Arabidopsis thaliana: one gene and its partners. The protein of the gene in region 1 interacts with the protein of each later gene in a pairwise test. Each region holds a gene or a part of one and is shown in the gene's direction. Other genes may lie near its edges.

Region 1 (5,116 bases):
AGTAAAAAAAAAATTTTGTTAACTAGAAAACGTATTAGAAAATTACTGGATAAACCAGTTTTAAGTACATGAATCTGGATACGAAAAATTAATTCAATGTGTTCTAGATTTCGAGGCAACTATCGACCGATCGAATTGTTTAGACTTTTGATCATGAATAATAAAGAAATATAGAACATAGGTAAACAATTTACTTTCTCCATATATAGTTGGAGACTTGGAGGTAAGTTTTAGATTTAGCAAATCAAGACAACTGTTTGTTAATGAGTAATGACGTACGTATATGAAAGATTTATTGACGCTTGCAATCAAATTCTCAAGGGTTGAATCTTATAGCATACTCACCCATACATTTTAACGATATCTATTAACCATGACGGTGGAAAGTAGTAATTAGTTACTTGCTCTTTTTTTTATTTACAACTTATGTATAGCAAATCCACTTTTATTCTTGCGCCACTTTTATTCTTGTACAAAATATGTATAGCAAATCAACATATCACATATGTATAAATAATACCAGGTTAATATAATATAGTATTATTTATACATAATGTAATACTCTAATAATCGATAAGTTTAATATCATGATTTGTTTTCCTTATTACTAAAGTATGATTGCTTATCTTGCCTAGTTGATAACTAATGTGATATAACATCAATATAATTATTCGTATATTTTTAAACATTAAATTAAGTTTAGAAATGTATTTCCTGATAAATTATTGTTTACCGAAATACTCTTAATACTTTAAACTTCTCTAACTCTATCATACTCAACATAAGTAAATGGAAAATCATGCTGGATAATAGGTTTAGATCGTGCTACAAAAGTATATTTTTAAACATTAAGTGAAAAAGAAGTTTAAATGAATTGGTTTTACTTTGCCAGATTAATCTGCTAACTTGCTGTCCGCAATAAGTCAATCACTTCAGTTTGCAATCCGTGATGGGCCAACCTGCTTGGCCTGCTATTTCGTGGACATAAATATTAATGTCTAAACCCACCCCACTACAGTACTATTTGGACTAAGCCCGTTTGACACCTTTACTAATTATAACCACTAGTGAGTAGTTATATAAGATTATCTTCAATAGTAGTTTCTTAGAATAGTTATAAGAGAAATAGGTATAAAATTTAATGTTTAATTCATATAATTGGTAAGAGATGACTCTTATATAAGAGTCTAAATACATCTTAAGAGCCAGACACGTGTTGTGATATAAGTGGGAGAATGAGAAATATTTGCAAAATTCTGTAATTATGTACTACTAATCGTTTTATGTATGTTTATGTCATGTATGTTTAAACTTTGATATCATGTATGTTTCAAATTTTATGAATTGCAATAATTATTAAAATTTTTAAAAATCAAATGTTTATATATTTTTTAAAAACCTCAACTTAAGAGCTTACGATTGGACATTGCCAAACATTTAAACTTTTATCCAAACTTTTAACTTCAAAACTTTCAAATCAATTATAAAAATATTGCTAAGAATCTTTGCTAAGAATTCACCATTATAGATTCTCTAACAAATCTTGGCATAATCATTATTATTAAAAAAAACTTTTTGTAGAGTTCTTGTTTTTTCCTTTATAATTTACTTTTCTTTCTCTTTTTCTTTTTTTTTGGCAGAATTTAACAATTTTTTAATAAAAATTTAAAAATATAGCACTATATATGTATCAGTTAACTAACATAAAAGATAAATTAAATGACCAATGGAGGAGGTGACGGCTCCGACGATGGTGGCTCCAACGATGGTGGTAAGTTCGGCAACAGTGTGAATCTAGTGAGGACATGCGGTGGATCCGGCGAGTGGTTCTCGCGAGGATGGTGGCTTGGAGGACGGCGATGGTGGTGAGGACACTGGTAGCTCCGGCGAGGGCAGTGGTTCCAATGAAGATGGTGGCTTGGAGTTGGAGGACTGCGGTAGTGGTGATGAAGATGACGGCGGTAGTGGTGGTTCCGCCGATAGCGAAACTGTGGTGGTGATGGTTGTTGTGGTGGTGGTTAATGGTGATAGTAGGGAGGATAAAATTGTCATATTATATATTATACATCAACTCTAATATAAACTTTATTGTATAGGTTAGTTTCCTCATCATTTGCTATTGCAAGTTATTTCTCTCTCTAAAGATTTGATGTAATTTAATGCTTACTTAGCCATTTTGCACGACGCAAATAAACTAATACCGCAAAATTCGTGATTACGCAAATAACATTATCTAAATGGCCAAAAATAACTCATCCCATCTCTTCTTTTTTTTTTTTTTTTGGTCTAAAACTCATTCAATCTCTTCTACACTTGCATTTTCTAATTACTGAACAATAAACTGCTTCATACAACATAATTTTAAATATGTTTCGTTTGAGATAAATTGTTCGACATTACTAAAGATTTTGGCTGATCAAAAAATTTATCAACCTTTACCACGATTCAATTGCCTAGTCATAGGCACGAAGACTCTTGTTTTCGTTTACAAGCATTTGAATGCTAAAAGTACATAGCCGTCTTTGGAGACATGATCTAATAAAAAAAGATCTACGTTGACGTATAGAAAACACATTGATTAAAGAAAGATATCTCTTAAACTTTATGGGCAAGAAGAAGATATTTTTATAACCTGATAGACACACATGGCAAAATTAAAAATATCTAGATATATGTACAGTTAATGTTCTTGATATTATTGTGCCCATTTGCATTAGACATGGCACAAAAATGAACACGTCATTTTTCAACTAAAATAACTTTTCAACTTATTAAAAAATTCGAAGATAACTATAATTCGTCGATGCCTATACGAAATACGAGGTTCTTTTTAACACCTTCTTTGGACAATAGATATTGAGATTTACATCTTCTGCTCTTTCCGACAAAAGCCCATCTCTTCTGTCTTATTTTCTTCTGAAGGTTCTGTTTTTTTTTTTTTTTTTTTTTTTTTTCTCATCCAAATAAGTACTTGAGAGAATTATAAGAAAATTCGTACTTCGTTTCTTTGGACAGTGTACCTCCACGTATTCGTCTCTGGTAATAATCTCCATCACAAATCTCTTTTTTTTTTCTTTTGTGTGACTCTTGTTTCTGGTGGTACAGTTTGCTCATCGATTGAATCGATTTGTATTTCTTCCACACAAGAAAAATGGATTTGTACTTGTTTCTGGATTTTATATATCTGGTGTAATTGTAAGTATAAATTTGTGGAATTAGCTTCTTTTTTTTTTTTTTTTTTTTGGAGAATTTACTGAAAAAGAATGTGATCCTAGTTTATCAAAAAAAGAATAAGAATGTGATCCTCCTCACATTTGTTTGATGAAACTTTTTGTGTTCTTTAGGTTTAATTCTGAGGTTGTGTGAAATTTGGTGAAGAGAATTTTGAGATCATAGTAATTATCCACTTGCTTGATGCTCATGAGCTCTAGTTTAGTATTGTGTTTGTTTTGAATTATGATTGAGATAAAGGATATTTACTTCTCAGGTGATTTAATCAAAGCCTCTGGAGAAGATCTGTAGGTACGTACAAATGTCTGAACATGTTATGGTTTTGGGTAAAGGTAACAAAGGAATCAGCAAGAATTCTTCAGTCAATCCATATGAATCAGCTTGGTTAGGTCGTTGGACTCAGTCAGGTAGTGAAGTGAAGTTTCATGATGGTGAGACCAATTGCTCTAAGCAGTTGATAAGACCTGAAGATGAGAATCATGGAGTCGAGGTCTTGCCGTTTCCTATGTTCAAGGTTTCTCAAAAGAGAGAGACTACTACTACTACTACTACTAAACCGTCTTTCCATGAAGATGTTGGTTCAAGCTCGAGAGCTATGGTTAATAGAATGCCCTGGATGTATCCGCAAGGAGAGAACTTCAGTTCTAGTAACCGTCTTGACTTCCCAATTCAAGAAAAGACTACTCAAAACTTGCTAGAGTTGATAAGACCGGTGAGGATTTACGCAACGGTTGATTCTGTTAACTTGCCTAAAGAAGATAGTCATCAGTTATTGAAGGGGTCTACAGTTTCCATGAAACTGAAAGGGAAGATTTTTGGTGGATATCTTGATCTGTTTCCTAATCAAGATCACTCCCACAATAGAGGAGGAGTAAGGCTGCAGTCTCTAGAAAGCTCAAAGGATACTCAAGAAGATGGACCGAGAAAAAATGAATCATCGGCAGAGACTAATACCTTAGAAATGGATAGACTTCAGACTATACATCTTTCCGGCTCCATTTCTTCGTCATCAACTAAGGTATTGTTCAATCGACATATCTACATATCTTTACTCAAAATGTTGAAAGTTGTGATTGTGAAAGATGTTGAAAATTCCGCAGGGAAAAGGAATAAAAGGCTACTCAGCCATTCCAAGGACCGAAATACCTGACATGAATGAAGAACCACCTCTTGTTCCGGATAGAGAGAATTCAGTAGATGGACATCAGGGAGAAACAAGCAACTCGGCTACTCAAAGTATGAATGTGGAACACTTTCTGTCCAGAGATTGCAAACGTGTGCGGTTGGAACCAGAAGTAGAAGCCAGCAGTAGATGGGTCAAGCGTCTGAAGACAAGCCCCTCAGATTCCAGTGAAACCAAGAGCATGATGAAGATGAAAGAAGCATCACTGGGAGAAAAAGAGAACAATAATCTATTCCTTGAGATCTTGAAGTCCGGAATCAACAATCTCCAACCGAGAAATCAAGAACCCGTCGTTTCACAGAGCAATGATCTGAGACAAGGAGGAGATGACATTACACTTCTGCATCCATGGATCCAGAGGTGGTGCAAGAAGAAAACTACATCAACAGATCAACCAACAGGGCAAGAAGCTAGCTTTGAGCCAGAGAGTCACAAGGAGTTCGAGAAGAAACAGTATCCGAGTATTGCAGCCATGGCATTGATGGGGAAGGCTCTGAGCGGTTTAAACCCATATGGTCTTAGAAAGACCAACTCTCTCATGGTTTGGAATGCAAGGGATTTGAGGTAGGAAAACAAAACCATCATCCTCATCTTCCCTTGTTTATCATTACAACGTAAAGTCAAGAACATCAAACAGAACTAGCTAGCAGGCTTGCTACGATCAAATATTTTGACAGGTTCTACCTTATATGTCAGTCTGAC
Region 2 (5,116 bases), on another chromosome or scaffold:
ATGACAATATCTTCAAATAAAGTTTTTTCTTTTGTAAGCAAATATGATAAAACTACGTTAGCTAATAGCCAACTTGGTCCATCATAGTTCATAAAGTCAAAAAATCAGTAACCAATTCATGAGTGGAATTATACTTGATTCAATGACACTGTTTAGGAGCTTATCTAAATTGCACAAGTTTTGTTACACGTAAAACACAAATATGCCAAATTAGACATGTTTCTCGTCATTCTAAAACATTAACAAATATTTACATAGACGCAGTCAAATAAATCAAATTTCGTATGATAAAAAAAAAACAAAAAAAATAGCAAGGTTGATTTGTCAATGCTGGCAAAAATAAGCAATGTCCTAATTTCTCAAGTTGGAAAGTGACATTTCTCTACCCATTTTTTGAAAAGATATTCTCTTTTGCATATAAGATTTGATAAATTGAACGCATATTTGCACTCAAGCTAACGTTATGTACTTGATTACTTGACCCGACTAATGACTTATTGACTTTGATTAATAAACAAAGATATTAGCCACTCCATTCTACATTATATACAATCTATACGCATCTATATATATCTACTAAAAAAATTGTAAGTACATACATATCAATGTTAATTTGTATATAAGGAGCTAAGAACAAACCCAATTAGGCAACTAGCAATTGCTAAAACACGTAAGATCTCAAATATGACCACGTTATTCCTCCTTATTGCTCTATTCATCACAACCATCCTCAACCCAACAAGTCTCTCTCTCTCTCTCTTTAATCTCACATGATTTATTCTCATTTTCAATTTTTATAGATATATAAACTTAATCATAATTAACCTTAATTATGTTATATGATAAACTAGGTGGAGAATCAGTAGGTGTATGCTATGGAATGATGGGGAACAACCTTCCTTCTCAATCAGACACAATCGCTCTCTTTAGACAAAACAACATCCGACGTGTTAGACTCTACGATCCAAACCAAGCCGCTTTAAACGCTCTTAGAAACACGGGTATCGAAGTCATCATCGGCGTTCCAAACACCGATCTTCGTTCACTCACTAACCCTTCTTCCGCTAGATCATGGCTCCAAAACAACGTCCTCAACTATTACCCCGCCGTTAGCTTCAAGTACATCGCCGTAGGTAACGAAGTATCTCCGTCGAACGGCGGTGATGTTGTGCTCCCTGCCATGCGTAACGTTTACGATGCTCTAAGAGGTGCAAATCTTCAAGATCGTATTAAAGTTTCTACCGCCATTGATATGACTTTGATTGGAAACTCTTTCCCTCCTTCCTCCGGAGAGTTTCGTGGTGACGTTAGATGGTATATCGATCCCGTCATCGGGTAATTTTCCAACCAAACCAAATAACCAAAATTCATTAGATTTAGTTATTTCCCAATATTTTTCATTTCTGGTTACTTGTGGAATGATTATTTAATTTCTTCCTATGTGGCTAATTAGGTTTCTTACGAGTACGAACTCAGCGTTACTAGCCAACATCTATCCTTACTTCAGCTACGTTGACAATCCACGTGACATATCTCTCTCTTACGCTCTCTTCACTTCTCCTTCCGTCGTCGTATGGGACGGCTCTCGTGGCTACCAAAACCTCTTTGACGCTTTACTTGACGTTGTTTACTCTGCCGTTGAACGCTCAGGCGGTGGATCTCTCCCAGTGGTTGTTTCCGAGAGCGGATGGCCTTCTAACGGTGGAAACGCCGCGAGTTTCGATAACGCGCGAGCTTTTTACACGAATCTTGCGTCGCGTGTGAGAGAGAACAGAGGAACACCGAAGAGACCTGGAAGAGGAGTGGAAACGTATTTGTTCGCTATGTTTGATGAGAATCAAAAGAGTCCTGAGATCGAGAAGAATTTTGGTTTGTTTTTTCCTAATAAACAACCAAAATTTCCGATCACATTCTCTGCCGCGAGAGACGGTACGGCGGTTGAGTGATGATTTTATATGCTGAGATTTATGTGAATAATTGGGAGATTATCCCATAAAAGGTTCCAAATAAAGACAAATTTCAAATAAAACCTGTTAGTCCAAGTTAAATTAAATACTCGGCTTTGTTTTGGTCCACGTTAGACTTGGTAAAGTCATGCAATATTTTTATTTGATATACACCAGACCAGACCAGACCTTTGAGGACACAGACGCCCACATGCCCACATATATCGTCCCTCGTATGCCCACTAGTCGGAATAATCCACAACCCACGTGATCTCGGTCCTTCATAAAACATACAAGGCAACGAAAGTTTAAAAATGTGGGTTAAATTGATACCTACACAAGTTTTTGGAACTTTTAACGAAATTTTAATAGACGAGGGAGTCAAATCATAAAGAGAACAAGGTCATCGTCTTCTTTAATCCTTGAGTTCACCACCTCTTCTGCTTCATTTTAATTGGTTTTTGAGAGCCTTAAGAAAAATTCAAATTGGTTTCTGTTTTATCATTTTACAAACTTCGCCGTTAAGCTAGCGACGGTGATAATTCAAGCTTCCCAAAAATCCTTATGAGTATCATTTTTGAGCTCTTACAGTGAAGATTTGTGAAAGTGTGGTTTCGAATCCAATGATTGAAGAAGATTTTCTTCGTCTCTCGCACTAATTCTTTGAAATTCCAAAACCATTAACTGAGAAAAATGGTCTCCGGAGGTGGTAGCAAAACCAGCGGTGGAGAGGCAGCTTCCTCAGGCCATCGCCGAAGTCGTCACACCAGCGCTGCAGAACAAGCTCAGTCGTCAGCAAACAAAGCCCTAAGGTCACAGAATCAGCAGCCACAAAACCACGGTGGCGGAACAGAGTCCACAAACAAAGCTATTCAACAGTACACTGTCGACGCGAGACTCCACGCCGTCTTCGAACAATCCGGAGAGTCAGGTAAGTCGTTTGATTACTCACAGTCTCTTAAAACGGCGCCGTACGATTCCTCCGTACCAGAGCAGCAGATCACAGCTTATCTCTCCCGGATCCAACGCGGTGGCTATACCCAGCCTTTTGGCTGCTTGATCGCCGTCGAAGAATCCACTTTCACAATCATCGGTTACAGTGAAAATGCGCGGGAAATGCTAGGGCTCATGTCTCAATCTGTACCAAGCATCGAGGACAAATCAGAGGTTTTAACGATTGGTACGGATTTGCGATCTCTCTTCAAGTCATCGAGCTACCTTCTCCTCGAGCGCGCGTTCGTGGCTCGAGAGATCACGCTTCTGAATCCTATTTGGATTCACTCTAACAACACTGGTAAACCTTTCTACGCGATTCTCCACAGGGTTGATGTTGGAATTTTGATCGATTTAGAGCCGGCTCGAACCGAAGATCCGGCACTTTCAATCGCCGGAGCAGTCCAATCGCAGAAACTTGCGGTACGTGCGATTTCTCATTTACAATCGTTGCCTAGCGGCGACATTAAGCTTCTATGTGACACTGTTGTGGAAAGCGTTAGAGATCTTACTGGCTACGACCGCGTTATGGTGTACAAGTTTCATGAAGATGAACATGGTGAAGTCGTAGCCGAGAGTAAACGGAACGATTTAGAGCCTTACATTGGTCTGCATTATCCCGCTACTGATATTCCTCAGGCATCTCGGTTCTTGTTCAAGCAAAACCGTGTTAGGATGATAGTAGATTGCTATGCGTCACCGGTTCGTGTGGTTCAAGACGATAGGCTCACGCAGTTTATATGCTTGGTGGGTTCGACTTTGCGAGCTCCTCATGGCTGTCATGCTCAATACATGACTAACATGGGCTCTATTGCGTCGTTAGCTATGGCAGTTATAATAAATGGAAACGAAGAAGATGGTAATGGGGTTAATACTGGAGGAAGAAACTCGATGAGGCTTTGGGGTTTAGTTGTTTGCCATCACACATCAGCTCGTTGCATACCTTTTCCTTTGAGGTACGCTTGTGAGTTTCTTATGCAGGCCTTTGGCTTACAGCTAAACATGGAGTTGCAGTTAGCCTTGCAGGTGTCTGAAAAACGCGTTCTGAGAATGCAGACACTATTATGTGATATGCTTCTACGTGACTCACCAGCGGGGATTGTCACGCAGAGGCCTAGTATCATGGATTTAGTAAAATGTAATGGTGCGGCATTTCTTTACCAAGGGAAGTATTATCCGTTGGGTGTGACTCCAACTGATTCTCAGATTAATGACATTGTGGAGTGGTTGGTTGCTAACCATTCTGATTCTACCGGGTTAAGCACAGATAGTTTAGGCGATGCGGGTTATCCTCGGGCAGCTGCTTTGGGAGATGCTGTGTGCGGTATGGCAGTCGCGTGTATCACAAAAAGGGACTTCCTTTTCTGGTTTCGGTCTCATACTGAGAAAGAAATCAAATGGGGAGGGGCTAAGCACCATCCTGAGGACAAAGATGATGGTCAGCGGATGAATCCGCGTTCTTCGTTCCAGACTTTTCTCGAAGTTGTTAAGAGCCGATGTCAGCCATGGGAAACTGCTGAAATGGACGCCATTCACTCGCTCCAGCTTATTCTAAGAGACTCTTTCAAAGAGTCTGAAGCGATGGACTCTAAAGCTGCTGCAGCTGGGGCGGTTCAGCCACATGGAGATGATATGGTACAGCAAGGGATGCAGGAGATAGGTGCAGTTGCAAGAGAGATGGTTAGGCTCATTGAGACTGCGACGGTTCCTATATTTGCTGTGGACATAGACGGTTGCATCAATGGGTGGAACGCCAAGATCGCAGAGCTGACCGGTCTTTCTGTTGAAGACGCTATGGGAAAGTCGCTGGTTCGCGAATTGATATACAAAGAGTACAAAGAAACAGTTGATAGGCTTCTTTCTTGTGCTCTCAAAGGTTTATGCAATTATTTAGATTTTCAATCTGTGCATCACTCTAAAATACAAATTCTGATAATGTGTTTCGTTTTCAATTATGCAGGGGATGAAGGCAAGAATGTGGAGGTCAAGCTGAAAACTTTTGGTTCCGAGCTACAAGGAAAAGCAATGTTTGTGGTTGTCAACGCATGTTCAAGCAAGGACTACTTAAACAACATCGTTGGAGTCTGCTTTGTTGGACAAGATGTAACTGGTCATAAAATTGTTATGGACAAGTTCATCAACATACAAGGTGATTACAAGGCCATCATCCATAGCCC
Region 3 (5,116 bases), on another chromosome or scaffold:
GTTTGATCTTGAGACCATTTCTTTTGCAGCTTGTTGTTGTATTTCTAGAGACTATGCCAATGCCATTTTTGAAAATGAAGAGCAAGATAAGCAAGGACTCGTTAAGAGAGAAAAGAGTTCTTGGTGTTTGTAAGAAACCTCATAAGGATGTTAAAAATTCATGCTTTGATCCCAAAATATCGGAGAGAATGGAACTTTTGGTCACTGCTACTCAGAATTGCAACAACAACGAGGAACAGAATATAGGTAAGGCTTGTTTCTTGAATTCTACAAATAGGTCGGTCATCTTTTTGTTTTAAATTTGTTCTGATGATGCTTTTGATTACTATAGGTTTGGATTCTTCTACTAGGGATGTTGTAACAAATGAACCCCAAGACCTGCTAGTTGAAGACAGTTCCAAAAATGCGTCGAATATGGATACAATATTTTCACCTGTTCTTGATGATGAACTGTATTCTGAAACTGACCGAGGTATATTCTCTTACTCTTTCATTTTTTTATTTAAGCTGTCTTTTTGATTGAGAATCGAGTAATCTAAGAATGGTTTTCCTTAGTATTTGTGGAAGGGAACAATGTGCAATGGGAAATGCCTAGGTGGGGAGCTGATGACTGCAGCAACAATCAGTTTTGCAACGATTCTGATTACTTTCTATCTGATGTGCTGATTGCAAGCTTGCCATTCTATGAGAGTGGAAATGTTGATTTTTTCACTGAGATAAGTCCCTTGCCTCATTGTATCTTTCCAGAGCCAAGTGTGTTACTAGATGCAGCTGAGCAGTACATGTTATTACCTTACTTAGAAGATAGATCAGCCAGCAGTGATGATGTTAAGTCTGATGAGGATAACAGGATTAATCGGTCAAGATCAAAAAACTTGGAAGCAGCAGAGAATCACACTGAAGCTGAACAAACTGAAGATTTTGATCCACAGATTTTCTTAAGAAATCAACCAGAATTAGCTGATGTGGTATTCAATTATTTCCCGGATATGCAGCAGCCTAGGGACTCTCCGAAAAGGAAGGCGGTAACCCTTGTTCTTGATTTGGATGGTATGATATGAACCACTTGGTTAAGTTTTGCCTCCATGGTACAACCACACTTACTAATCATCTTTAAATGACATTGCAGAAACTCTGGTCCATTCGACTCTGGAAGTCTGTAGAGATACAGACTTTTCCTTCAGAGTCACTTTCAATATGCAAGAGAACACTGTTTACGTGAAACAAAGACCATACCTTTATAGGTTCTTAGAGAGGGTGGTTGAACTTTTTCATGTTGTCATCTTCACGGCTAGTCACAGCATCTATGCGTCTCAGCTTCTAGATATATTGGATCCAGATGGGAAGTTTGTATCGCAACGTTTTTACCGGGATTCATGCATTCTTTCAGATGGTATTTATACCAAGGATTTAACCGTTTTGGGTCTTGATCTAGCAAAAGTGGCTATAGTTGACAACTGTCCACAGGTATTTTCTAAAGGATTCACTTCACTACCTTTGTTTCATTAATTTTTGCTTTTACCTTAGTCTCAGTGATAGACACCACAAGCAAATCGAATTTCAAAGAACGATAGTTACAGTGCAGAATTTGTAGTTTAGTTGAGTATTACATGGACCCTCATTGTTCTTGTTTCAGGTGTACAGATTGCAAATAAACAATGGGATCCCTATTAAAAGTTGGTATGATGATCCAACTGATGATGGTCTGATTACATTACTTCCCTTCTTAGAGACATTGGCTGATGCCAACGATGTTCGTCCTGTCATTGCCAAGAGATTCGGTAACAAGGAATAAGAAATCTCTTCCTTTTGTTTCCACTATATCTTGATTGCAGATTCTGGGTTTCTTTAACAGATTTAGTCATAGACTAGTTTAGTTCCTCAAGACTTCTTAGGTGCTATTTAATTAGTGAACCATAGAATAATGCTCGGTGATATTAGTACACAAGTAAAGCGTAACCCTTGTTTTAGCCAGGATAATAGATCATTGAAATCTTAAGTGTTCTAAATGTACAGTTGGTGAAGCTGAGATACTGAATGTATAAAAGTGAGTAACTATTGAGTGAAATATCAGTTTTGGAGGTTAACAACAGCCATTATCTCCTTGTGGTAAATTCAAACTGTTGGTTAGATCTTTGTACTACTGCATTGTCAGTAATATAAATGAAGAGAGGTTCAATCTGGAACCTTCTTTTTCGTGAATTTATCGAATTTTCTAGCTTCTGTGGTCTTTCATAAAGGAGGAATATCGTATATGGGCGCCCGGATCTGGTGGTTCTGTGGTATTATAATAAGCTATTTAATCTATAACTCTCAGTAAAAGTTTCATGATTCTGTTGGCATGGTCCTTATTGTGCAGATCATTCAACAAGAAGTTCTTTTGATTAGGCGTAAGGAAGTGACCTGACTATTGTTCTTCTCTGTGTTAACTTGACTCTTAAGGTTTTGTCTAAGGTCTTAAGCTCCCTGACAAACTTGCCAATATGTACATCTTTACAATGTTAACTTGTTTTCATTAACATTTGATAGTCATATATTCTTGTTACTAGTTAATAAACCTGTCAGAAGAATCATATTTTCTAACATTGGTTCTTATGAACCAAGAAAGTCATTGATTTCTTACATAACATCAGTCGTTTAGATGCTTTGGAGATTGCTTTTGGTAACTCTCGACTAAACATAGTTTCAAATTTGGCTCAAAAGAAACTTTGTTTTTTTTTCAGAAGTATGAGGACATTATCAAAGTTGAAAGTTTTGACCAAAATATGTTGAAATTTTGAAGGTCTATTAAATTTGAGAAAGACATTAGCCATTTCTTCAATAGATTCAGAGTAACAAAAAAATACTTATTCCATGGAACTTTTTTATTCACAAAAATAAAGCAATTTAAGAAAAGGGAAAAAAAATGAAAGTGAATCGGTGGTGGTCACCGAACAAGCTGTACGTGTGGGAGAGAATGCAAACAGAGTAGCAAAAAAAAAGCATTGAAGGAAGCAAAACAAAACATGAAAAGAAGAATCTTGAGGTAAAAACGAATCCCAAATATCAAAAAGGAAACTTTTTTTACTTCTTTCTTTCTCTTGCTGCAAATGATACAGAATCAGCTTCTTCTTCTTCTTCTTCTGGTCGAAACTCACTCCACACTTTCCCCTAAGCTATGGGATTCGAGAGTTCAAGCTCAGCTGCAAGCAACATGAAACCTCAACCTCAAAAATCCAACACTGCTCAATACTCTGTTGATGCTGCTCTCTTTGCTGATTTCGCTCAATCCATTTACACCGGCAAGTCTTTTAACTACTCCAAATCTGTTATTTCACCTCCCAATCACGTTCCTGATGAACACATCACAGCTTACTTGTCTAACATCCAAAGAGGCGGTCTAGTTCAGCCCTTTGGTTGTTTGATTGCTGTCGAAGAACCTAGTTTTAGGATACTTGGTCTTAGTGACAACTCTTCTGACTTTCTTGGTTTGTTGTCTCTTCCTTCCACCTCCCATTCTGGTGAGTTTGATAAAGTCAAGGGTTTGATTGGAATCGATGCAAGGACGCTTTTTACTCCTTCCTCTGGAGCTTCTTTGTCTAAAGCTGCTTCCTTTACTGAGATTTCCTTGTTGAATCCTGTTTTGGTCCATTCTAGGACGACCCAGAAGCCTTTTTATGCTATTCTTCACAGGATTGATGCAGGGATTGTCATGGATTTGGAGCCTGCTAAATCAGGTGATCCGGCTTTGACCCTTGCAGGCGCAGTTCAGTCTCAGAAGCTAGCCGTTAGGGCCATTTCTAGGCTGCAGTCACTTCCCGGAGGAGATATTGGTGCCTTGTGTGATACTGTTGTGGAAGATGTTCAGAGACTTACCGGTTATGACCGTGTTATGGTCTATCAGTTTCATGAAGATGATCATGGTGAAGTTGTTTCTGAGATTAGAAGGTCTGATTTGGAGCCTTATTTGGGTTTACATTATCCGGCAACAGATATTCCTCAGGCTGCTCGGTTCTTGTTCAAACAGAACCGTGTCCGAATGATTTGTGACTGCAATGCAACTCCGGTTAAGGTTGTTCAGAGTGAGGAACTCAAGAGACCACTTTGTTTAGTTAATTCTACTCTAAGAGCTCCTCATGGCTGCCATACGCAGTATATGGCGAATATGGGCTCTGTAGCTTCTCTTGCACTCGCAATTGTAGTAAAAGGCAAAGATTCGAGCAAGCTTTGGGGATTAGTTGTTGGTCATCATTGTTCTCCTAGATACGTTCCATTCCCGTTGCGGTATGCTTGTGAGTTTCTGATGCAAGCATTTGGGCTTCAGCTTCAAATGGAACTTCAGTTAGCATCACAGTTAGCCGAGAAGAAGGCTATGCGGACGCAGACCTTGTTGTGCGATATGCTTCTCCGTGATACTGTTTCCGCTATTGTTACACAATCTCCGGGTATTATGGACCTTGTGAAATGTGATGGAGCTGCGTTATATTACAAGGGGAAATGTTGGTTGGTTGGTGTTACTCCTAATGAGTCACAAGTTAAAGACTTGGTGAATTGGCTGGTGGAGAATCACGGTGATGATTCGACGGGTTTAACCACTGATAGTTTGGTGGATGCGGGATACCCTGGTGCCATCTCACTTGGAGATGCCGTTTGTGGTGTGGCTGCCGCAGGATTTTCTTCAAAAGATTACTTACTTTGGTTCAGGTCCAATACTGCAAGTGCAATCAAATGGGGAGGAGCTAAACATCATCCAAAGGATAAAGATGATGCCGGAAGAATGCATCCGAGGTCATCGTTTACAGCCTTTCTTGAAGTTGCGAAGAGCAGGAGCTTGCCGTGGGAAATCTCAGAAATTGATGCTATCCATTCCCTGAGACTTATAATGAGAGAGTCATTTACCAGCTCTAGGCCAGTTTTGTCTGGTAATGGCGTAGCAAGAGATGCTAATGAGCTTACTTCTTTTGTGTGTGAAATGGTTAGGGTGATTGAAACCGCAACTGCACCTATTTTTGGGGTTGATTCATCCGGATGTATTAATGGTTGGAACAAGAAAACCGCTGAAATGACGGGATTACTAGCTAGTGAAGCAATGGGGAAGTCACTTGCCGATGAGATTGTTCAAGAGGAATCACGCGCA

The links.
Region 2: the proteins of AT2G16365 (region 1) and PHYD interact in a two-hybrid assay, tested with the Arabidopsis thaliana proteins (one study listed by BioGRID).
Region 3: the proteins of AT2G16365 (region 1) and PHYE interact in a two-hybrid assay, tested with the Arabidopsis thaliana proteins (one study listed by BioGRID).

Annotation. Positions count from the first base shown.
Region 1 is NC_003071.7:7,071,408-7,076,523, forward strand, and holds the start of AT2G16365 (F-box family protein), read left to right. Parts: upstream 1-2,954; 5' UTR 2,955-3,039; exon of another isoform or gene 3,040-3,195; intron 3,196-3,244; exon of another isoform or gene 3,245-3,487; 5' UTR 3,488-3,532; coding exon 3,533-4,249; intron 4,250-4,331; coding exon 4,332-4,978; coding exon of another isoform or gene 4,979-4,982; exon of another isoform or gene 4,983-5,116. Other genes in the region: AT2G16340 (uncharacterized protein), read left to right, coding at 1,727-1,771, 1,838-2,077. UniProt on the Arabidopsis thaliana protein: Together with PCHL, regulates growth and development adaptation to the ambient environment by controlling negatively phytochrome B (phyB) dark reversion, a temperature-dependent thermal relaxation process during which phyB reverts from the active to the inactive state.
Region 2 is NC_003075.7:9,197,010-9,202,125, reverse strand, and holds the start of PHYD (phytochrome D), read left to right. Parts: upstream 1-2,285; 5' UTR 2,286-2,639; coding exon 2,640-4,815; intron 4,816-4,899; coding exon 4,900-5,116. Other genes in the region: AT4G16260 (Glycosyl hydrolase superfamily protein), read left to right, coding at 685-742, 852-1,335, 1,454-1,946. UniProt on the Arabidopsis thaliana protein: Regulatory photoreceptor which exists in two forms that are reversibly interconvertible by light: the Pr form that absorbs maximally in the red region of the spectrum and the Pfr form that absorbs maximally in the far-red region.
Region 3 is NC_003075.7:10,043,990-10,049,105, reverse strand, and holds the start of PHYE (phytochrome E), read left to right. Parts: upstream 1-2,759; 5' UTR 2,760-3,157; coding exon 3,158-5,116. Other genes in the region: SSP4b (SCP1-like small phosphatase 4b), read left to right, coding at 54-246, 332-472, 556-1,050, 1,130-1,467, 1,637-1,781, 2,360-2,388. UniProt on the Arabidopsis thaliana protein: Regulatory photoreceptor which exists in two forms that are reversibly interconvertible by light: the Pr form that absorbs maximally in the red region of the spectrum and the Pfr form that absorbs maximally in the far-red region.